3 linked regions of the Caenorhabditis elegans genome follow. The protein of the gene in region 1 purifies or fractionates together with the protein of each later gene. This does not show direct contact. Each region holds a gene or a part of one and is shown in the gene's direction. Other genes may lie near its edges.

Evidence for each region. The genes of interacting proteins can lie anywhere in the genome.
Region 2: the proteins of dsc-4 (region 1) and asp-6 fractionate together in Caenorhabditis elegans (co-fractionation; one large-scale study listed by BioGRID). This does not show direct contact.
Region 3: the proteins of dsc-4 (region 1) and dpy-18 fractionate together in Caenorhabditis elegans (co-fractionation; one large-scale study listed by BioGRID). This does not show direct contact.

What each region holds. Positions count from the first base shown.
Region 1 is NC_003282.8:313,603-323,351, reverse strand, and holds dsc-4 (Microsomal triglyceride transfer protein homolog), read left to right. Parts: upstream 1-2,807; 5' UTR 2,808-2,881; coding exon 2,882-2,927; intron 2,928-3,991; coding exon 3,992-4,248; intron 4,249-4,665; coding exon 4,666-5,012; intron 5,013-5,058; coding exon 5,059-5,163; intron 5,164-5,399; coding exon 5,400-5,559; intron 5,560-5,608; coding exon 5,609-5,775; intron 5,776-5,825; coding exon 5,826-6,117; intron 6,118-6,166; coding exon 6,167-6,361; intron 6,362-6,824; coding exon 6,825-7,268; intron 7,269-7,326; coding exon 7,327-7,673; intron 7,674-7,914; coding exon 7,915-8,233; 3' UTR 8,234-8,296; downstream 8,297-9,749. Other genes in the region: grl-26 (Ground-like domain-containing protein), read left to right, coding at 768-1,010, 1,053-1,145, 1,695-1,781; snai-1 (C2H2-type domain-containing protein), read left to right, coding at 9,655-9,749. UniProt on the Caenorhabditis elegans protein: Catalyzes the transport of cholesteryl ester, and phospholipid between phospholipid surfaces. Does not catalyze transport of triglycerides. Required for the assembly and secretion of plasma lipoproteins that contain apolipoprotein B.
Region 2 is NC_003283.11:8,266,494-8,271,916, reverse strand, and holds asp-6 (Aspartic protease 6), read left to right. Parts: upstream 1-2,979; 5' UTR 2,980-2,981; coding exon 2,982-3,289; intron 3,290-3,334; coding exon 3,335-3,464; intron 3,465-3,571; coding exon 3,572-4,303; 3' UTR 4,304-4,406; downstream 4,407-5,423. Other genes in the region: asp-12 (Peptidase A1 domain-containing protein), read right to left, coding at 1-190, 267-644, 697-910, 959-1,272. UniProt on the Caenorhabditis elegans protein: Aspartic protease.
Region 3 is NC_003281.10:11,371,869-11,380,960, reverse strand, and holds dpy-18 (Prolyl 4-hydroxylase subunit alpha-1), read left to right. Parts: upstream 1-2,980; 5' UTR 2,981-2,981; coding exon 2,982-3,245; intron 3,246-4,823; coding exon 4,824-5,046; intron 5,047-5,091; coding exon 5,092-5,219; intron 5,220-5,906; coding exon 5,907-5,991; intron 5,992-6,055; coding exon 6,056-6,702; intron 6,703-7,435; coding exon 7,436-7,600; intron 7,601-7,748; coding exon 7,749-7,916; 3' UTR 7,917-8,075; downstream 8,076-9,092. UniProt on the Caenorhabditis elegans protein: Catalyzes the post-translational formation of 4-hydroxyproline in -Xaa-Pro-Gly- sequences in collagens and other proteins.

The sequences.
Region 1 (9,749 bases):
TTGCCGTTGCAGCACAGCCCCGCAACCTCTCGTTTTTATTTGATTATTGCGGTTTTGCCCCATTTCTTAAAAAAATTACGTTTTCAAATTTCATGTTTCTTTTATTTTTTTCATTAAATAAATATTTCTATCGAAACAAGTTGAACGTGCTCAAAATAAATGAAACCTCCGCAGCAACGAGAGCTCGGAACATACAGTACTATTTAAAGGCGTACACCTATTTTCATTTTAAAATATTAGCAAATGAATAATAGTGGAATTAACAAACAATGAAAAACTTGAAAACCTTTAAAGCAATAATTAAGCGTTAGAAAATTATATCTTTTTTTAGGTCATAGTCACTCAATTAACCTGGAAGGCGCCCAATAGATGCCTTTCTCCTTCGTTTTCTCTGCGTCTCTTCTCTTTTACTACTTATTATATGGGTTTTGAGTATTTGAGGTTTGACACGGATAATAAAGAGGTTAATAACTTGTATTATTAGTTTGTTTAGTTCCAGCCCCATACAATATAGACGCAGATTCAATCAGAACCAATATATAAATGAGAGCGCTCTCACTTGTCTCCTCACTGTGAAGCAGTTCTAACCGTTCAAAGACGTAGCTTCATTCTCTTTCGTGTACGCCTGGCCAAACAAAAGTTCCCGTGTCCTCGGTAGTATAGTGGTGAGTATCCGCGTCTGTCACATGCGAGACCCGGGTTCAATTCCCGGCCGGGGAGAACTTTTTTGAAAAATAAAAAGGATTTTATGTTCAGATTCTCAAAAAATGTTCTCAAACTCCGCAAAAATTGTGTTAATCTTCGCTATTTTGTTTTTTGATCTCTGTCACGGTTGTGCTGGCCTATTCGGAGGTGGAGGTGGTGGTGGATGTTGTTGCCAGAGTGCGTGTGGAAGAAAAAAGCGAAGTATCGATGAGGATGAGCGGCGGGAGTTCGAATTTCGAGGAATTGCCAGTAAAAACGAGGATTTATTGTGCAATAGTCCAGAGATGAAGGCAATGATCCAGGCGGTTTGTGGGTACAACATAATCCCAAAAAATATACATTTTCAGCATATGAAATCCAATCCACAAGCATCCAGTAAATCGCTTCAATCAGCTCTAGAAGATCATGATTCTCATCGATATGTTGTTGTCTGCTCAGAGGTAGAAATCATTCGAAGATGAAATAAAGTTCAAAAAGACCCCAAACGACCGGATTCCATTTTTGCAAAAATTTGAAATTATGTCAACTTGTTCACGTGGCAGGGATTAGGAAAAAACAACTTTTGTTTGTATATTTGAGTCGTTTATTCCTTTGGTAGATTCTCAGTTTATGGGCACCTAAATGTAAATTTGGGTGCCTATTCAACCTAAAATCAACCTAAAATGAGTAATAAATGACTCAAAAAATATAAAAATGATACCTGTGGGTATGCCTTCTCATTTTAAAATTAAATTGCATGCCTAAATATACAAAAGTATACGACACGTTTTTATTTTTTATAACTTACAAAAATTACTTTTAAAATGAGGGGGAATTACATAAGTACCAAAAAGGTTAACTACACCGCTGCCACAAGAGCAAATTAGCAAACTTTCCTATTTGAACAAAAAAAGTCCATTTTTAAAGGATTTTAAACAGCCATAAGTCGTTTGTGGTCATTTTGAGTTTATTGATGGAAATATATAATCGAAATTTTTCCTTTTTTGTAGAATCCCTTCCACTATTCCATCAAACATGATTCAGCATACTGCGGAGCACGGAATGGTTCTCATTATTGTCAGGCATTTGCGATATAACTTTACGAAAGGCTATTTTGTTTTTAATTATCCAATAAATTTTCATGATAGAAATAAATAACAAGCTCTTTAACATCGCAAAACGGTAATAAATCGACTAAGAATTTAAGCCAATTGTGATTTTTCCAGCAATGGTGGCATCGTATCCACATCAACTACGTTGATATATTCATCTTCTTCTGCAGTTTCTGAATCCACAACTTGTTCGTGATGTTTTGCAGAATTATTTTCGGAAGTAGTTGCCTGAAAATTAAATTTTTGAGTTTTCAGAACAATTCAACTGTCTGTAAAACCTCTAAAATGGGCAATTTTGTAGATAGAGGACTCAAAATTGAACTCCGAACACTAAAAATTGTATTTTTCCAATTTTAAATGGATTTGTACATTTACATAAAATTGACCAATTTTGCCACCAAGCCGTATTCCACTAATACGGAAACTACGTCGTTCAACAGGGGTTTTTTCACTTCCGACGCGCTCGACCGGCTGTACCAGCGGACAGCCGCACAGCCGATAAAATCAGGTGAGAATAATTACATTTTTTTCCTATTGTAATCAATATATAGAGAAAATGATTAACAATGAAGGATCGGAGGAGCCGTTATTTGCCTAGTCAGGTTACAAATCGTGGTTTGTCTTCTCAAATGATGTGCCTTTATTTTGGTCGAAAAGGGCATAGACTTAGGGCCCTATTGGTGTACACTGTACAGTTATGCCGGATTCGAAAAAAGGAAAATTAATTCAAAGTTTTAGATGTTTGCTAATAATAAGTAGGATTGAACGAACCGCAAAAAAACGTTGCCGCGTAGATTAGGAAAGTGAAACCTTTGTCATGACCAATTTTCATATCCAATTTCAACCGAAACAATTTCCCGGATTTATCGGTTTTAGTGTATATTTTCAGTTTACTAATGAAACGTGTACCTATTATAGAATCACCCTTATTTTTAGTGTTATCAGCAAGCATAAAATCATAACTCTTATCAATAGTACTGCTTCTCTGCATCATTCACAATTCTTCTCTTCCATCCAAACAGGACTCCATTGCCAATAAAATTATTTTAATTTTGCTCTCTCTGGGAGAAATTTGGAAACCAGAGATGTTCTCATCACGGATATGGCTGCTTCTGGCCGTTACTGTGGGAGGTAGGGAATTTTTTTGAAACAAAAACTGCTTGAAGGTGGTGTAGTCGAATTGTCTGAAAACACCGAATTTCATAATGAATTTTCTCGAAAACTTCTCAAAAAAAAGGTTATGTGGCTCAAAGAATGACCTGGGATTAGTTAAAATTTTAAATTTGACTTGTCAGAAAACGCAAGATATTTAACGGGTATAACCAAAATTAGACGGCAATTTCAACAAAAAAAGTTTCCAACGGCTCCGACATTGACAAGTTAGTCAAATTTCAAGTTTTAAATAATTTTAGGTCATTTTTTGAGCCGCCATAACTTGGCAAATACTGATATATGTGAAATACTTATCAATTACGCTGTGGACCATTTTCAAATACAACTTTCGCTTTTTAACATTGTCTATTTCTGATTGAAATGATTGTAAAATAATAATAACCGTATTGCAAAATTCAAATATTTCTTCCCCAGAGTGAGGTTGTTTATACAACTCGATCCGCACAGGTGTTTACGACTACACATCGTCTCCTATTTTTCTTGATGGCACACAATTATGCTGATTAAAATATTAAAACTGATTTTACTTTCAAACACTTTATCTAACAGCCAATATATTATCTTATCAATATCAGCCATATCGAGCCCCTTAAAAATATTTTCCATTTAAAAATTTCACGCTGACTGAAGAAATGTTTTATTTATCAAATTTTTCGAGTTTTTCAAAGTTCAGGTGTTTGTCGCATGCACTTTGTTCATAATCTAAATAAATGCTTGGAAAAGTTATTTTTTAAACTTTGACCGGCGCTTACTCGAGAAACTTAAAGAGTAGAAAAAAAACATTGCAATACTAATATACACATTAAGAACTACACTTTATTAGTTTATCACTTTCTTGCATATCTACTGGTTGCTGAGATACTTTGCGTTTATGTTCATAGCCGTTGTTCAAAATGTGGTCAACTGACAAAACTTTTGACTTTTAATTTTAAACATTTTTTAATTGTGACTAATGCGAACATTAAAAAAAATTAAATTTTTCGAGTTTTAAAATTCTAGCTTGAAAATTGTTTCCTTTTCAGTTTGCCTAGCAGTTCCGGATCTCGATGAAATCAAGAAGAACCTTCGCAAACATGGTCCAGACTACTATAAAAATCAGCCGAAAATGAACGAGAACACTGTCCGACTACTGAAAGTGGATTACTGGTTCCGTACTGAATCTATGATTTACGATGATATTGATAATAAGGAGAAGGATCCATCGACCGTTATTGCTGGAAATTTCAGCTTTGAAACACTTCATCATGACGTGGAGGGTGGCATGTTGGGACGGTTTACGGTAAAATCTTTTTTCTTCGAAAATAATCTTCAGTATCAAACAAATCAAAAATTTTAAAATATGAGCATTAAACCGACTTCCTCCACAAACTGCGCAATTTGTCGTGAGGCAAGGCTCACTGAATGATTTTTTTTTGAATTTTTCAATCAAGTTTCCATAATTTTTTTTTGCAATTTGCTGAAAACGTTTTTGCATTGTCCAGACATTGTGCAGAAATGCGAAAAAAATCAGAATTTTCCCAAAACTGTGAGTTTTGCCATTTTTTGTCTCAAAATATTTTACATCTAACTTTGCGTATAAACTGACCTACAGTAATCCCAAAAATTCTACCATTATCTAGTAGTACTTGAAAATTGAAGCAAGAGCATCATATTCTACGAGCAAAAATGTCTACGAACTCATAATTTGCGTTTTCAGCTAACCCAATGCAACACTGACAACTGTGGTAATCCATCTCCAATCTACATAGCATTCCGTCAAGGTGGTAATAATGCGGAGCATATCCTTAAAGCGTCCGATGAGAGTGACGCCACCTGGAATTTCCTGTACGCAATTGTGAATACAATCTACACGCCAGCAGAGTACGGAGAAGGAGACGAGCAAACAGTCGACACAATTTACGGAAGATGCTTCGTGAACTTTGGAAGGCCAGAGGATAAACGGTTTAGAAGAATTATCGAGAAGTGTGATTTGGGTTACGGCACAAATTTTACGAAATTCGAAGGAATCGAGAGTGTTCAATATGATCAGGATGTCTGGTACACGTAAGTTAAAACATGATACAGTTTTAGGAAAAGAATAGAGTTTCAGACAGAACACAAAAGTCGATGCAGACATTATTATGGTTGATGCTATTGAGATGTTAGCATTCAAGAGTCCACTTCACGAGAAATACGGATTCACTCTGGAATCCAGGTGAGTAGGTTCTTAAAATTTGCAAACATACAAAAATGTTTTTCCATTGTTTCTAAAGGAGTCAAAAACCAAAGAAAACATTAATCTGGAGTATGGACCTGTGATGTTTTTATTCGCTGCACCTTCAAGAGTTCTGACTTGAGTAATACAGTATTAAGTTTTCAGTGATATTTTTTCCGAAAAACTGGCAGAGATTCGGCTCAATAACCCCATCCTTAACATTGTACTTATTCTAGAACTCACGTAGAAATCACCAACCGTACACGTGTCTTCGTCACCAGCTACTGTAATGATACCGTACCATCCGCCAAATGCGCCGAGCAGGCGTTTGGAGCAGTTCGTGTCGGAGGAAAACTTTACGAGCATGTCAAGATTGCGCAGGAACAGTCGAATAAGGTTATTTTTCTGAATGTAATGTAATTCAAACGCTAAAGGCATTATTCAGTTAACAAAGCTTATTGGAACATACCGCCGTCATCTTCAAGATATGGGTGACTCACACATTTGTGAGAAACATTCTTTGCTTTATAGTCAAATTGCTCAAGAAGCCCGATTGGCTAAGCGACAGGACTGGGAAGCTGCTATCCAATACCCAGAGAATGATCATGTTCTGTAAGTACATCATCACATACATTCCCAAACCAGCTAAACATTTTTTCCAGATCTCTTATCGCCAGTGCCCTCGGAGGAGTCGGTACAGCAGAATCTATCACCACTGCTCGTGAAGTTCTTCTTACCGCGTCCCCTGATTATCTTGATGATTTACTTTTTGGAATTTCACAAAGCTCGTCTAACAATGAGAAATGGCACAAACAATTGATGTACTGGCTCGGGTCCCTTGATAAAAAATCAGAAGAATATTGGAAGGTGGCTAACACAATTGCAACTGTGCTGAACAAACGATGTGAAGCATCGACAAGCAGCTTAAACTCTTGCAATAAAGGAAAGGAAACGGTAAGATCCTTACTTTCACTGAATTCTATGCGTTATTGTTGATATTCAGATTGTCAACAAATTCATCACTGACCTGACAGCTGGTGGAGTTGAAGTCAGAGTTCTCGAGGTTCTGGAGAATATTCCAATTTTCGGATCCTACACTTTTGCTAAGAAATTCATATGTGAAACTGAGTCGGAGGATGTTCAGAAAGCCGCACTCAACGTTATTCTGGCTGCGAGCAAGAATTTGTATGAAACACAAGTAAGTGGATTGAAGTATGAACAAGAGATGCGCGGCACTTCGGCACATGCCGAATTTTTTTTTCGGCACATCAGTATATGCCAAACCAAAAAAAAAATTGGCGCTCCTGTACATTTTTGAAGATACAAAATAGCTTGCTGCCAAACGCAGTGTGCAGTGCACTCTATGTATTTAATATTGAAGACATAGTAAACTATAAACTTGACAAATAAAGTCCGTACATGTATATTTATTTCTTATATTAATTGTGTTGATATAAAGTTCTCTTCACATTTAGATATGGGTCAATAAAGTATTTGAACGTTTTACAACCCCTCCCTTAACTTTTTTAGGTTCACGTGGCATCGGGCCGTCTGAAATTGTTATTAAAAATGTTCAATGCTATTTTTGTACATTAGAATCCTGCCGGCTTCTACATTGGTTCAACTTGTAAAACTCATCTTTTGAATATCTAATTTTACAGCTCACCCACAAGCTCATCAAACTCTTCCGCAACACATGCAGCCAGGAAACTCCAACTTCTCATTCTCAACTCGCCATCGACATTCTCCTCAAATGTGTCCCTGATCATCAAAACGTGGCCACCTTGATCCTGCGAACTGAGACTCTTAACCCCGATGATCAGGAAAAATGGCATTACCTGTACAAGGCTATCGAGGCAAGCGGAAACAAGGATGAACTGAAGGCCGAATTTTGGTCGCGAATGCGGAAGTTTAAGGTTTTCCGACCAAACTTCTTGCACAGAGCACTTCAGGCGGATTCTCATGTTCACTGGCAAGAGATTGCAGATGCTTCAAACTTCCAACTGTTCTCCACTGCGAACACAGAATTCTTGCAAAAATCCTTTAAGAGATCCATCTTTGAGCTATCGATGAAGAAGGGAAGGAAGGAGCACAATTTATTCTCGGTGAGGGAATTTTAAGTTTTGTTATTTTATAGGATAATTTATTGAATACAAATTTTAGCTCTCCATCGACACTGAGCACCTTGAGCAATTTGTGACTGGATCAGCTTCTTCAAGATCCGGCGCTCCACAAGGGTCTGTTCGAATTGGAGTTGCTGGTCACAAGCTACCAACTCACCACATCTTCAAGGGAAGTACTGACCTGCTTTCCACTGTCTGGGAAGCAGATGGAAGGACGCATAAGGCATTTGAAGGTCATGTTCCTGTTAGAGACGTTCGACTATCGGTGCCATTGCTCTCTGGATTGACTCTTGACGTTGATAGCGTTGGAGCAATTAGTATGAGAGTTCTTGCATCGGCGGAAGTTTCCCTTTGGAATCAGAGATCGAATGCAAAGGCAGAGGCATAGTGAGTTCTTGAAAGATCCTCTTATTTTTATTGATCGTAGGAATTAGACGATCCCTAGGCCCAACAGTTTTAGCCTACGGGTCTAGGTCTAAGGGCCCACATTAAAGAGCCTCAGCGAAGGGGCTCAGGCAAAAAAATAAGTCTTAGGTAATTTCAACTTACAATTAGGTTGATGTATAGTTTCTAGCTTTGTATAGTTACGCCTGTTATAAACATTCTTAAAAATAATTAAACATTTCAGTACATCCGGATCCTTACACCTAACGGCTTCCCTCTACCATCACTCAGAACCAGTCCGCCACGTGGAATCCACAATCTCGGCGCTCTCCACCTTCACCACAGACACCCGTGCAATTTTCGAGACTCTCCCATATGACTTCTGCCTAAGAACATCTAATAGCAATGTTGATATCAATCAGAAAACAGTTGTACAGGATCAAATTGGAAAGCATAAAAAGAAGACGCTTAATCGAAAACGAGTACATCCTGGAGTTACATACAGGTTGGATGACTCGACGATTCGGCAGTGTAATAGTTATTTGGAGCAGTTTAGATTGTAGTTGTTTGTTTTTTTTATTAACATTTCATGTTTGTTCTGGAATCAAATAAAAAATAACTTATTGAGAAATAGTATCAAGCTGAACCACCGAATCTGATAAATATACTTGCAAATCGAAAATTGAGATCTTCGAGATCAACTTGCAGATAACGAGTGCGCTTTTACCCTTAAAAGCTTGATAATTTGGCATATCTTCTCATATAATTTGTGATCCTTTTTAGAAAAATATGTTTGAAAACTGTTATTAACACTTCAGATGTTTCGAATTTCAATGCATTTTGAAAAAAAATGGAAAAGTTTTAAATGTATTAGAAATAGTTCCTAACACCCCTCTCGGTCCCTTGGCTCCCATAACTTCTGACTTCCCGCCCGTGCAACATCTCTCATATCAACACCAACGAGCCTCCTTGGCAAGGGGGCACCTGTCGGCCGAAATCAAACCAACAGGTGTGATAATGGGGGAAAGGTAGAAGTCCGGATACAACACAACGATGAGGAGTCACAAGAGGCAGATAAAGCAAAAGATGAATCCCCTCCCACTTTTTGTCGTATCAGCCAATCAGTTAATTGTTGATGTTAAATCCGTTTTTATACCAAAGCCGATAGAGAGGTTTTTCAGCTGGTTTTACCTTTTCAATATGAATTTGAAATAGTTATTGTAGAGATGACTTAGTAGGTAATTCACACACCCTTAAGTAAAAACGGATTAATAATTTCTGACCCAAAAGTGAGCTTCAATTGGATTTCACTGAAAGCCAGAGAAGTACTGAAACTTCTTTTGAACGATGGCTTCAAAACATTGGTTTCAGACAATAGTTGTAGGGTCAATAAAATGTGATTTTTACTATTTGTTTTTTATTCACAGATACTGTTTGCTTCTCTATTTTAATTTAATTTTAAATTTTTCATAAGAACCACAATGCTCCGTAGGTTCACTACAGACCAATTAAGATTCACGATATAGCTGAAACAAGTGAACACCAAATTTCAGCCATGTTTTGCCAAGACATTTTGCAAATTGGGTCGCAATTTGCAAAATGTCAAAATTCTGTAAGTAGTTCATTATATTGCTGTTGCCCTACTTAAGACTGTTTTGTACATTTCATTAGTATTCTAAAAATGAAGGAGTACCTGCAAATTGAGTTTGAGCTTGAATGTTTTGAAGTTATTAACATTCCCTTTTTTTGAATTTATTAATATTCCTTAAGACTATCGTTTCACAACTACTACAACAAATATTAACGTGGCTCTCTGTTACAATTTTGGACGTAAAGAATGCTACTATCGAAAAAAGAAAATTCTAGCGATGCTTAACCGTAAACTCATCTGGGTTATCCATTTTTTTAGTGCTCTTATCGTCGCCTACAAACTTATTTATAAAATTCCTCAGTTATGTAATTCCAGAAAAAATCCTAGCCAAAAATGAGTATCAATACAAAAAGGAAAAGCATCTTTGAAACCATAGAAGACCTCATTTCCCCTGACCCGGCACCCTCATCATCTTCTTCATCTGCCAG
Region 2 (5,423 bases), on another chromosome or scaffold:
CGAAAATCCATGATGGTCCGAATCCTCCGAAATCGAATGAGAAAGCAGCAAAGACACAAGTGTCACCCATTCCAACATCAAGGATATAGTTGACAGGTTCAATAGAATACACATTTCCTCCGATAGTAATGTCCAAAGTTCCCTTAGATGTTGAGCATGGGAGGTAGTAAGCATCATCATCGCTGTGGTACTGGAAAAGGTTTAGATATAAAGATTAAAAAAACTGTTTGTCCCTCACAACGAGTCAAAATTAAACTGATACTCACTTTTGCTCCCAAAGCTTGAGCGAAGCCATTTATCACAGCACTTGGTCCTCCGATGAGCGAACTTCCAGTGTCGGAAATCACTTGAGATTTCTTATTGTTTGAGTATGATCCGAGCTTAAATCCATCAGCAACAAACTGATAATACGTGGCAGATGAAAGTGGTTGATAGGCAATCACTGGTCCGCAGTTGGTAGTGTCAACGGCTCCGTAGGTGAAGACACCTCCTCCAACATTCTTTGCCGTTCCCTTATGTTCTAAAAAGACTGTGAACAGAGGTTGATCGAGAATTTTCTTGTTGATGGCGTTGATCAGTGGTGGGGTAACTCCGTCGACTGCAAGAGATGTGAAGGCAAGCCCGAGAATTCCTTCAGCAGCGTCCTGAAAGTTTCGTTCCGATGAAGAATCAAATAATCTGGGAAATAGATCTTACATTCTTAAAGTTAGACGAAATGTGAGAGGCAATACCGAAAGTGGTAGATGGGACAAGAAGTTGTTGTTCTGAAGCACCACCAAAAGCAACAGTATCTACTCCCATGATTCCCTTAGCGCTTCCAGATTCGTATTGAATTTGCCATGATTGTCCGTTTTTCTTGAATGTTGTAGATTTAGATGAGTCAAACTCGCTCTTTCCTTTGCATGTTCCACTGAAAATGATAAAAATTTAAAAACCATTGTGTAAGGTGGCTACTGACTCGCAGTTACTTCCTGGAACCCAGAGATTCGCAGAACCAGTATCCAAGACGACAATAAACTGTTGTGGAGGAGTTCCAATCGTGATATTTCCTAGGTATTCAACATCTCCAAAATCATTGACATTTTGTGGAGCACTGGCGAACACAGCTGGATTGGCGTCACGTAGGGCAGCCTTGTGTTGAACGTATGCTCCCCATTCTCCTCGCCTCATCATTTGCATCTTTGGCGATTCCCGATAGATCAATTTATGCTGAACCACAGTTGCCGAGCACATGCCAAGAATGGCTACAAAAGCGAGAAGAGTTGTCTTCATTTCTGAAAAGATTTATTGAATATTTCGATGTTTTCAGTGCGTGTTGTGTTTTGAAATAAAAGAGGTTTCATTAATTTTGGTTGAAATCATGTTTGTTTCTTGATTCTACTAGTTTTTCAACGAACAACTGTTTGAAATACAATATCATTTAGGTTGACTTTTGTGCGAGACTGTGTGAATGCCCGGTACGATAAAAAGTTCAGTAGTCCTATTATGCTTGAAATATGGGTATTTGAAAGTGTAATACAAGTATTCAAGAACTAAAATGGTTCTTTCTTCCTAAAATTTATGCGTTTAAGATTAAATACCATAGAAACCTAATATTTTTCGTTCTTCAGCTCATAACTTTGCAAACTAGAATGTCCGTGCAAAGTTTGGAAACTTTGGCCATTATTCTTTCAATCTGACGCAAGAACTCTCACTTTCTTGATCTGATGCGATAAATTATTGATAATAAATCAGAATACGTATCTAGATTCGTAAGAAGCTTATCTAGAAAAGTTCCGGCTCATAGTCAACATGCCTGGCTATTGGGCACGTGATGATCAAGATGTTTGTACTGTCACAGGTTGAGAAGTAAAACAGCGGAAATGATTGAGGAAAACGTTTGATTTAAAGAAATGTCAATAAAGCTATCATGTTGACTGCCAAAATAATACAGAGCCGGAAAAAAAACTGCAGAAAATAGTGATGTCATTTGGGTACACTTGCAAAACAAGCGTACAGTATTAATTGGATTTCCAATTCAAAAGGGTGAACTGTAAAACTTGAAACCATGCCTAGCTTTCTCTGCAATCCACCAAAAATTTTATATTTGGGGTCTTTAGGAAGATAGGCTGAAAATTCATCCTTAACTATTCCCTGGCAAGTTTTCTGGCAAAAAGTTTATCTACATATAAATATGGAGTTTTGCAAAAAAAAATGCTGTGGAACAATTGGAAATGGACATAATTTTCAAATAAAATTCAAATAATGGGCACTATTGTAACTATTTTACTAACTGTGAAGTAAGATGAGATAGAAAGTGCCGTTAAGAACCTTCCAACTCAAAAAGTTTATTCAATTCAAAAACTGTATAATGTTGAAAACTATAATACAGAGCAAATTGAATTGTTGGAAAATCTTACAGTGATGCCTTAAATAAGGCTCTCGTCATTCATTATATCATCCTTTGGACTCTGTCTGTTCAAGTTTTAGCCATGCTCAAACTGTATACTTTCCTATCGCTTACGTAATTCATCACGTATTACTCCGGATTTAGCCAGTAAACCTACGTGTGTACCTGGTATTGACCTATCAGCACTTGACTCAAATGTCATCCATCTCCGGGTACCGTTCACGGAACTTTACGCACTTTTGATTCAGTTAATACTCGAGTTTTATTAGCTCATAAAAGCTGTTTCGTCAGTTTTCAGTCGTTACTTCCAGAAGCCGGAATCATCGGCACTACTCTCTTCACTAAACTTCATTTTTTAGTGATAAGAATCGCACCGATCGGGTACAAACCAAATAAGAAGGCGGTTCTTATCAACCAATTAAACTTACGTCAGTGCGCCCATGAGTTTTCTCAACAAGTATAAAACATAGCACTATCTGACATTTTCTACTTCAATTTTTGCTCTTGAAATTGAAAATTATTTCACTCGTTTATCTACACTTTCAATTTCATTTCCATTTAGAATATTTTTCTGAAATATTTATTTTCAGGTATGAAGACCTTCATCCTTCTGGCCGTTCTTGGCCTTGCATCGGCTTCAGTCCATCAACACAAGATCGTATGGAGGGAATCCAAGAAGATGGGAATGATCCGTACTGGACAATATCCAGCTTACCTTGAATACCAGAGAAATCTCAGAGCTGTGTCCCCAAATGTTCTTGCTAATCTCCCACAAAATGTCAATGACTTTGGAGATTTCGAGTACCTCGGAAACATCACCATCGGAACCCCAGATCAAGGATTCATCGTTGTTTTGGATACCGGATCCTCTAACCTCTGGATTCCAGGACCAACCTGCAAGTGAGTAGATTTCAGTTCTGAAATATTTAAAAAGATTATTTGAAGGACCAACTGCAAGACCAAGAGCAAGTTCGATTCCACTGCCTCCAGCACCTTCGTTAAGAACGGAAAGTCCTGGACCATCCAATACGGATCAGGAGATGCCGCCGGAATCCTCGGACAAGATACCGTTAGAGTAAGTTTATCTTCAATGCATTAATGTGTGCGTTGTGTAATCTTGATATAAATTAGCTGGCAAAGTGAATTTTACAAAAAATCAGTCCTTATCAAATTGATTTTCAGTTCGGAGCTAAGGGAGACTCCCAATTGTCTGTTCCAACCACCACCTTCGGAATTGCCAGCAAGATTTCCGCTGACTTCAAGAATGACGCCACCGACGGAATTCTCGGACTTGCTTTCACCTCCCTTGCCGTCGACGGAGTTGTCCCACCACTCATCAACGCCATCAACCAAGGAATCCTTGACCAGCCACTCTTCTCAGTCTGGCTTGAGCACAGAGGAGCCGCCAACAATGTTGGAGGAGGAGTCTTCACCTACGGAGCCATTGACACCACCAACTGCGGAGCCCTTGTTGCCTACCAACCACTTTCCTCTGCCACCTACTATCAATTCAAGGCTGCCGGATTCAAACTCGGATCATACTCAAACACCAAGACCGTTGATGTTATCTCTGACACCGGAACTTCCTTCCTCGGAGGACCACAATCTGTTGTTGACGGACTCGCCAAGGCCGCTGGAGCCACTTATGATGACTTTAACGAGGTCTACTTCATCGACTGCGCTGCCCAGCCAGGAACTCTTGATATTACCATTGGAACCAACACTTATTCCATCCAGCCAGTCAACTACATCGTTGATGCCGGAAACGGTCAATGCCTTTTCGCTGCCTTCCCATTCGATTTCGGAGGATTCGGACCATCATGGATTCTTGGAGATCCATTCATTCGTCAATACTGCAACATTTACGATATTGGAAACAAGAGAATGGGATTCGCTCCATCTCTCCAAAAGTAAATATATATTACTATTTATGTACTTATACTTTTTCAATAATAAAACAATTGAAACAACTAATATTTAAACAATTTTTCTGCAGAAATGAATTGCATTGAATTTTAATCACGATGTTTCATTCCTCTTATCAGTTTACTTGTGTTATCAGCGAAATTAACGAGTCCGCCGTTTGATGATGCAAGAAAATGAAAAAAAGCTTAAAACCAGAATTGAAAAGGGGGAAATTGATCACTTTTTGAAAAATGCGATCAATAATTTTAATTATAAGTTTATTTGTTTTTGTTTCTGGATTAGTACATCAAAGTAAAATATTATGGAAACCATCAAAAAGGATCGAGATGCTGAGAAGTGGAGAATGGGCAACATATAAGAAACATCTCGAGAGACAAAGAAACCGTAATCCTTGGCAGCTACAGAGTTTGCCACAGAATGTAAGTTTTTTTTAACGTATCCAAATTTTAAAATAATCTAAAACTTGTACTGATAACCTGTTCTATGCAAGTTTCACAATTTTTAAATAGAAACTAGCCAACTTTCAAAAATAACTTTTATTTGATATTTTTCTCATAAACACATACACTAATTTAGGTCAATGACTTTGCCGATTTTGAATATCTTGGAAACATCACTATTGGAACTCCTGATCAGAGCTTTATTGTTGTCCTTGACACAGGTTCCGCGAATCTTTGGATTCCAGGGACATCATGCAAGTAAGAATGAAATTTAAAAGTGAACTTTTACACTTAACTTTTAGAGCAAATTGTGAGTCGAAACACAAATTTGACAAGATATTGTGAAGGTATAATTTTTAAACAATTATTCTTACTTTCAATTAAAATTTTGTAGATTGGAGCGACCGGAGAAAATCAGTTAGCAATCCCAAAAACGACATTCGGAATTGCAAACCAAGTTTCAGCAGATTTAAAAAACGACGCCACCGATGGAATATTCGGTCTTGCATTCACTACATTGGCTGTTGATGGCGTAGTTCCACCACTTATCAATGCTATTAAACAAGGAATTCTTGATCAACCATTGTTCAGTGTATTCTTGGAACATAGAGGAACATTGACAAATGTTGGAGGAGGAGTGTTCACATATGGAGCAGTAGACACTACTA
Region 3 (9,092 bases), on another chromosome or scaffold:
GTACAGTTATAGGTTTCGTAAAAAATAGTCTTCCCGGCAACCAATTCCCAAATATGATATCTCCTTTAAAATCCTTCAATCTCTTCTCTTTTTTGTGTTATTATTATCTATTGGTCTTGACCCTTCTTCTTCTTCTATTCTTCATCTTCCCGTCACAACTTCCAACGTGTCTTCCTCCTCAGCAGCTGTCTCTGCGGTTTCTCAATTCTCTGTACTATTTCTAGAGGGTCTGCTGGCCGTTTCGTCAGGAGGAGGTGGTGGCCTTACTCACTCAATCTGTCCCACTGACCCTTTCTTTTATTCTTCTTTCCCTCCCTACGTTTCTTGCAGTTTTGCAGTTTTTACTGATTGTCAATATTTGGGAGTTTGAATACTTTGTGAGATTTGGGGAAATTTCCAATTTTCAGCGATTTGGTAACTTTGAAATTAGATATAGTTCTGAAATTGCCGTGATTTCTCAATTTTAAAGCGGATTTTTTTTGATTTCTAATAAATATGAATTTAAGTAAATTTTCAGCTTTTTATAGTTTTAGAAAATTCAAAAAAATAGCCAGTTTCAGTTTGGCAACTTCATTTAAAAAGTGTTTGCCATTTTGGTAAATATGCAAGTTTGGCAATTTTTCCTATTTTCTACATTTTTTAAAATTTCATTCCGACAGTTTTGATAGGTGTTTAAATATTTTTGAAATCGCTCAGTTTATTTTTTCAAATTTCAAAAATTTATAATTTCGGTAACTTAGAAATTTTTTCGCCGATTTTTTCAGTTTTATAATTATATAATTTTGGCAACTAGTAAGTTTCGGGGAAAAATGAATTTTGCCAGTTTTTCAGCTATACAGAATTTTGGCAATTTTGAAATTTTTCTGATATTTTCCAATTTTGGCAATTTTTGTGTTTGCCTAGTTTTTCATATTTTAATTACTCACAATTTTGGCAACGACCTTTTTTTTGAAAAATTTGCACTTTAGCGAATTTTTGGCTCTCCTAAGTTTCAGCAAATTTTAAAATTTCCAAATGTATCATATTCGGCAATTTTGACAACAATTTTTGATGATTTGGGCAATTTTACAAATTTCTTTTTTTTTTTTGAGACATTGGCCATATTGGAACGTTGAAAAACTATTAAAAAAACTAGGCACATTTTCGGTTATTCCAAATTTCGAAAAATTAAAAAACTGCTAGCTTTTTCGGCAACCAGAACATTTCCAATTTTCAAAATTCCGGCAATTTGTTACGTTTGGAATGCCGATTTTTTTTGGGATTCCAGCAAATTTATTTAGGTGATCCGATAATTTTTCGTATACTTGGCAACTTCATTTTTTTTCCAAAAAAGGGAAAATGAGAAAATGAAATGTTTTTTTTGAGTCACGCAATTCCGGCTCCACTTGCTATTGTGCTTTTTTCTGTTAAAAACATGCATAACATCCAATTTTTTGGCGCCGGATTTTTTTTTGGAATTCGGAAGTTCACCAACTTGAATATTTTTCCCTATTTTTTTGGCAATTTTTTAAACAAATTCCGGCGATTCTAAAATAGCCCAGTACTTGACATTTCAAATTCAGTTGGAACTACCCAATTATTCCCAACCTGACACCTTTTGTCTTTTTCCTATTCAAACTTTGTGAACCTATATAATTATTTTTTTCCCGCCTGCGTCTCTCTTCCTCTCTGCAAATACTTACGATTCAATAGAATACGTGAATTTCCGAAGACCTTCGCGACGAATCTAGTTCACAGTCGTTTCTTTAGATTTTCCATGGATTTTGATTTATGAAACTTTAGAAGTATTGCAAATTTTTTTTAGGTCGAAAGCTTTTTCTATAAAAACAATATAGCAGCCGACACTTCACTGGGTTAACTTTACAGAAAATACCCGCGAGTTGTCGGCTGCTGTAACTCCCTTTGCAGCAATGATAGCAAGAGATTGGTAAATAGCAAATTGTAGAAAATAAAATTTACAACAATTTGTTAGTTGAAGACATTTTTCTATGTGTAATGCGAAACAAATTATGGCAGCCGACACTTCAATAGGTTTTAGAGCTAGCGAAAACCCCGTGAGACTTCGGCTGCTACAAGTTTTTCAGTTAGACATTCAAAAGTTGTAACTCACAATTTTTTGCGTCTTGCGGGTTTTAACTGAAAAACTGGAAACGGTTCAGAATTCAAAAAAAAAATGTTTTTCGGTTGATGCTTCTAAAACGTTTTTCGTGATAAAAATTGAAAAAAAGCGAATTCAAAAATTAACTTTTAGCAGCCGACATTTTATGGGCTTGAGTTATATTTCTCTAACCCTAAACACCAAAGAACCTATATATCTCACACTTTCACTATCATCAAGTCAACGTCAGTTTTACTCATTTCTGCGTCTCGTTTTCTTATTTCTTTCGCATCTAATTGTTGTAAGTCTACGTGGAGAAACCAGCCTTATATAGCTGAACCAACTTCCTCTTTTGCAATTTTTTCCTTTCTTTGTGTTTTATGCCAGAACTTTGAAATCACAAAAGTTATTGTTAATTTAATATTTAAGCTACCTGAAATTTCCTATATTTGGTCAATTAACAATTTTTTAGCAGCTAGTTCAAGAAGTAAGTTAAAGCAGACGACATCTAGCGGGTCAGAATTTTGGAAGCTGTGAGATGTCGGCCGCTATATGCTTCTTGAGGAAAACTGGTGTGGTAGCCGACACCTTGCGGGATTTGATCCCCGGGGTTTCCGGATCTGTAAGATGTAGGCTGCCACAACTTTTTTAAACTGACAAAGTTAAGAAATCAAAATTTCCTTTTTTCCGGTAAGCACTGTCTTTTGGCTATTTTAGGCAGCCGACATCTTGCGGGTCTTGCTCAGTTTTGATTTTTTTTTTTCGAACCCATGAGATGTCCGCCGCTATAATTTTCTCTGGCGTTTGTGTCAAATCTTTATTGTAAACTTTATCCGCTTCCCGTTTTGCAGGTTTTTAATTCCCTAACTCTCAATTTTTCAGAATGCGCCTGGCACTCCTTGTACTAGCCACAATCGGCTATGCAGTTGCCGATCTGTTCACCTCGATTGCCGACATGCAAAACCTTCTGGAAACTGAAAGAAATATTCCGAAAATCCTTGACAAATACATTCACGACGAGGAAGAGCGACTGGTTCAGCTGAAGAAGCTGTCGGAGGAGTACTCGAAGAAAAATGAGATTTCGATTGAAAATGGGCTCAAGGATATTACGAATCCGATCAATGCGTTTTTATTGATCAAGAGAAAGGTAATTTTGTTTGCAATAGGTTTTAAGTTATTGCAGCCGACATCTCACTGGCCGTTTTTTCAGCCCGTAAGGCGTCGGCTGCTATGACTTGTTTTTAACGCTAGAAAAAAGTAGTCAACTATGATAGCAAAGTATAGGAAATTTCATTTACTTAATTTTGTTAGTTGACGATTTTTCACTCAGTCCCGTAGTTTTACTGTTATTACAGCCGCCATCTTACTGGCTGCACTTTTTAGAAATCCGTGAGATGCCGGCTGCTATAACTTTTTTCCCATACATTTTAGAAAAAAGTTGTCAACTGACAAAATATAGAAAATTTCATTTACTTAAATTTGTTAGTTGACAATTTTTCACTCAGACCCGTAGTTTTCCAGTTATTGCACCCGACATCTCACTGGCCGTTTTTTTTCAGCCCGTAAGGCGTCGGCTGCTATGACTTGTTTTTAACGCTAGAAAAAAGTAGTCAACTATGATAGCAAAGTATAGGAAATTTCATTTACTTAATTTTGTTAGTTGACGATTTTTCACTCAGTCCCGTAGTTTTACTGTTATTACAGCCGCCATCTTACTGGCTGCACTTTTTAGAAATCCGTGAGATGCCGGCTGCTATAACTTTTTTCCCATACATTTTAGAAAAAAGTTGTCAACTGACAAAATATAGAAAATTTCATTTACTTAAATTTGTTAGTTGACAATTTTTCACTCAGACCCGTAGTTTTCCAGTTATTGCACCCGACATCTCACTGGCCGTTTTTTTTCAGCCCGTAAGGCGTCGGCTGCTATGACTTGTTTTTAACGCTAGAAAAAAGTAGTCAACTATGATAGCAAAGTATAGGAAATTTCATTTACTTAATTTTGTTAGTTGACGATTTTTCACTCAGTCCCGTAGTTTTACTGTTATTACAGCCGCCATCTTACTGGCTGCACTTTTTAGAAATCCGTGAGATGCCGGCTGCTATAACTTTTTTCCCATACATTTTAGAAAAAAGTTGTCAACTGACAAAATATAGAAAATTTCATTTACTTAAATTTGTTAGTTGACAATTTTTCACTCAGACCCGTAGTTTTCCAGTTATTGCACCCGACATCTCACTGGCCGTTTTTTTCAGCCCGTAAGGCGTCGGCTGCTATAACTCTTTCAAATGCGTTTTAGAAAAAAGTTGTCAACTGACAAAATGTTGGTAATTGACAACTGTTTTACCAGTTCAAAGTTAAAAAAGTTAGAGCAGCCGACATCTCCCAGGCCACGTTTTTTGAAAACCCGAACATATCGGCTGCCTTAATTTTTCTCTAATTTTTATTAGAGAACGTTGTTGACTAAGTAATAGTAAGTTTAGTTGAAATCTTTTCAAAATTTTGGCTGCTCCCAACTATTGGTAAAGCCTCCAGTTTCTGTGTTATTGCAGCTGACATCTCACTGGCCGCACTTTTTTTGAAAATCCGTGAGATGTCGGATGCTATAACTGTCATAACTTTTTTCTCAAACGCTCCAGTTACAGAAAATTTTCTACAACTTTACAGTTTACAACTTTTGTCTATCTCAATTTCTAAATGGCCTATAACCCCACAAATCTTCAGATCTTTGACTGGAAGGAGATCGAGTCGAAAATGAACGCAAATAAGGCTGGAAACGTGGTCTCTTCAATCACAGATGACAGTTATGGAGTACGGTACCCAACAGCCGATGACTTGAGTGGAGCAGCTATTGGGCTCCTCCGTCTTCAAGACACTTACCGCCTCGACACCAAGGATCTTGCCGATGGAAAGATTTACGCGGATCAGGGAAATTACACATTTTCCGGTAAGCTTAAAGTAATACAAACTTTAAGTTTATCTTTAATTTTAGCAAAGGACTGTTTTGAAATTGCCCGTGCTGCTTACAATGAGCACGACTTCTACCACACTGTGATGTGGATGGAGGAGGCGCAGAGAAGACTCGGCGACGAGGTGGAGCCAACTGTGGAGGTGGAAGATGTGAGTTATCTTGGCTGGAGAGGAAGATAGAAAAATATTTACAACTAGTGAATTGTGCAGAATTAAATTTACATTATTTTTTAGTTTATAACTTTTTTATAGCTTGTTTCTTAGTGGAGTTATAAAGAGTTTTAGCAAAAAAATTTGAATTTTAAAATAAAGCACGCATATCTCTGCAATGAAAGATTTTATCAAAAGGTTGTCAATTGTTAAAATGTGTAAAATAAAATTTTCTACAATTTGTTAATTAACAACTTTTTGCTAAACTTGCGTCGAAGCAAGTTATGGCAGCCGACACCTTGCGGGTCCAGAAGCAATCCAAAACCGGAAGATGTCGGCTGCAACATAACTTTAATCCTAGTTTAGCTGCGGGAGAGATGTTAACTAATAAAGTGTAAAACAACTTTTTTTAATTGCTTTGAAGCAAGTTATGGCAGCCGACGCTTTACGGGGCAATCTGTCGGCTGCTGTAGACTTCGAAGGCGGATAACTCTGCGGGTATTGAATTTATCAAAAAGTTTTCAACTAACAAATTATAAAAAAATTAAGTTTTAGATACTTTAATAGTTGAAATATTTTTGATATCTTTAATAGCGGCGGAGAAACAAGCGTAAATCGCCAAAAAGCTATGAGAAAGTAGCCGAAATTTTAAATGCAACTTTTTTCACCAAAAAATTTAATTTCCAGATTCTCGAATACCTGGCGTTTGCACTGTACAAGCAGAACAACTTGAAGCACGCTCTAAAGCTTACAGAGGAGCTCTACAAAATGAGTAAGTTTTTGAGACCGCGAGATGTCGGCTGCTACTCAGCTATTGTAAAATCTAAATCTTCCAGACCCAACTCACCCACGCGCCAAAGGAAATGTCAAATGGTACGAGGACCTTCTCGAGCAAGAAGGCGTCCGTAGAAGTGACATGCGCAAGAACCTCCCACCAATCCAAAACCGCCGTCCCGACTCTGTCCTAGGAAACACTGAACGAACAATGTACGAGGCTCTGTGCAGAAATGAGGTTCCAGTGTCCCAGAAGGACATCTCCCGTCTCTACTGCTACTACAAGCGGGACCGTCCGTTCCTTGTCTACGCTCCGATTAAGGTGGAAATTAAGAGATTCAACCCACTAGCCGTGCTCTTCAAGGACGTGATCTCCGACGATGAGGTGGCCGCGATTCAGGAGCTCGCGAAGCCAAAACTCGCAAGAGCCACAGTCCACGACTCGGTGACCGGAAAGCTTGTCACAGCGACTTACCGTATCTCTAAAAGCGCGTGGCTTAAGGAGTGGGAGGGTGATGTTGTGGAGACCGTTAACAAGCGAATCGGATATATGACAAATTTGGAGATGGAGACCGCTGAGGAGCTGCAGATTGCGAATTATGGAATCGGAGGACATTATGACCCGCATTTCGATCATGCCAAGAAGGAGGAGTCGAAGAGTTTTGAGAGCTTGGGAACTGGAAATCGTATTGCCACTGTGTTGTTCTATGTGAGTTATATTAAAATGCAAAAACCCGTCAAGTGTCGGCTGCCAGCTAACAGCCCGCAAAGTGTCAGCTGTTGCCTTATAACTCGCAAAACGTCGGCTGCTAATTAGATGCCAGTATTTTGTCGGCTACCATATAGTCCCGGCAAAGTGTCAGCTGCTAGGTAGATCGCTGAACTTGTCCGGCACTAGCGCACGCGACAGCGAGGGATCCATTTTTGCCGGCTGCTAACTAACCCCGCAAAGTGTCAGCTGCTAGCTAACGACCCGCGCAGTGTCGGCATCTAGGAGCCTGTAGCTTGTTGGTTGCCACTCAGAACCCGCGAAGTGTTGACTGCTAGCTAACAACCCGCAAAGTGTCGGCTGTTATCTAAATCCACAAAGTGTCTGATGCTAGCTAACAAGCCGCTTAGTGTTGGCTGCTAGCTAACAAAACGCAAAGTGTCTGCTGCTAGCTAACAACCCGCAAAGTGTCAGCTGCTAGCTAACGACCCGCGCAGTGTCGGCATCTAGGAGCCTGTAGCTTGTTGGTTGCCACTCAGAACCCGCGAAGTGTTGACTGCTAGCTAACAACCCGCAAAGTGTCGGCTGTTATCTAAACCCACAAAGTGTCTGATGCTAGCTAACAAGCCGCTTAGTGTTGGCTGCTAGCTAACAAAACGCAAAGTGTCTGCTGCTAGCTAACAACCCGCAAAGTGTCGGCTGCCGACTCAAAATCAACCTATTATTGTTTCAGATGAGCCAACCATCTCACGGAGGAGGTACCGTCTTCACTGAGGCCAAGTCTACAATTCTGCCCACCAAGAATGATGCTCTCTTCTGGTATAACTTGTACAAACAAGGAGACGGAAACCCAGACACCCGTCACGCCGCCTGTCCCGTTCTTGTCGGAATCAAATGGGTTAGTTTTTTGTTTCTGGTGGGAGCCCGCGAAATGTCGGTCGCTTCTTATATCGGTATTTGCGTACTTTCGCAGCTACAGTAACCCACAAAAACACCTCTAGGACCACAATTTCATGAGGAATTCGAATTTTAACTTGTTTTTCCAGGTATCCAACAAATGGATCCACGAGAAGGGCAACGAGTTCCGTCGTCCATGCGGCTTGAAATCCTCAGACTACGAAAGATTCGTCGGCGACCTCGGATACGGCCCAGAGCCAAGAAATGCTCCAAACGTGTCCCCAAATCTTGCCAAAGACGTCTGGGAGACCCTCTAAGCATTGGTTTTCATTGTTTTCTGTTTTTTTTCTTTGTGCCGCATAATTTATCCCCACACACTACCGGGTGGTTTCTTACATGTTTTCTCTTTTTTCTCTTGTTGCCTTCGATGAAGTTGTCTGCCTTTTTCTTTGCCGTGAATAAATTATTTTTTACTTTTTAATTATGTTATTTGAAAGCAGCCGACAATTCCCTAGTGGATCCTGTGAAGTGATGGCTGCAAGCCTGTAAAGCGTCGTATGCAGAATAGAAACCTGTAAGAGGTCGGCTGCAAACCTATTAAGTGTCGGCTGCTGAGTAAAACCCCGTATAGCGTCGGCTGCAAAATAAAAAACCGTAAGAGGTCGGCTGCCAACCTTTTAAGCGTCGGCTGCTGAGTGAGAGCATGTATCGTATCGGCTACAAAACTGTTTAGTGTCGGCTGCTAGATAGGAATCCGTAACGTGTCGGCTGTCAACCTATTAAGCGTCCGCTGCTGAATAAAAACCCTTGAGATGTCCGCTGCCAACCTGTTAAGTGTCGGCTGCTAGATAGCAACCCGTAAGGTGTCGGCTGCACACACACTGGATATTATTGATTTTCCGAAAACTTCCGAATTTTTCTTCTCCTGCTTACCTTTTTCCGTAGTTTTATCATTTTCTCATCATCACTTTTTCGCATTGACAGACCGCCAAAAACGTTTTATTATGTTTGTTTGCTCTTTTTCTTATCAGTGCTTAAATATTATGAAACATCTTTATATGAAACTCCTTTTTTTGGCATTCTCGTTTTCGAAAAAATTGAATTCCAACTCGTTTTAAGCAAAATTTTGAAATTTTGGCTTAGATTTTTTGGCAGCTTGTATCTTTGCATGAATGCTAGAATAATTTTGTCAACTGATAAATTGTAGAAAATTTCATTTGCTATATTTTGTTAGTTAACAATTTTTTAGTAACTGTTGTGGTTGGCAAGTTGCAACCGTGTAAAGTTGTAGTACATAAGCGTCACTGGTTATTTGCTACAAATGCTTGTATCTTTGTAGGAATGAGAGATATCAAAAAGTTGTCAACTAGGGAAATGTAGATAAGAAATTTTTCTACAAATTGTATGTTGCAATTTTTTTTTCTAGCTTTAAGGATTAGCGAGATATGTGCTTTCAAAAAGTTAAGGTTTAAAAAAATTTTATTTTGAAATTT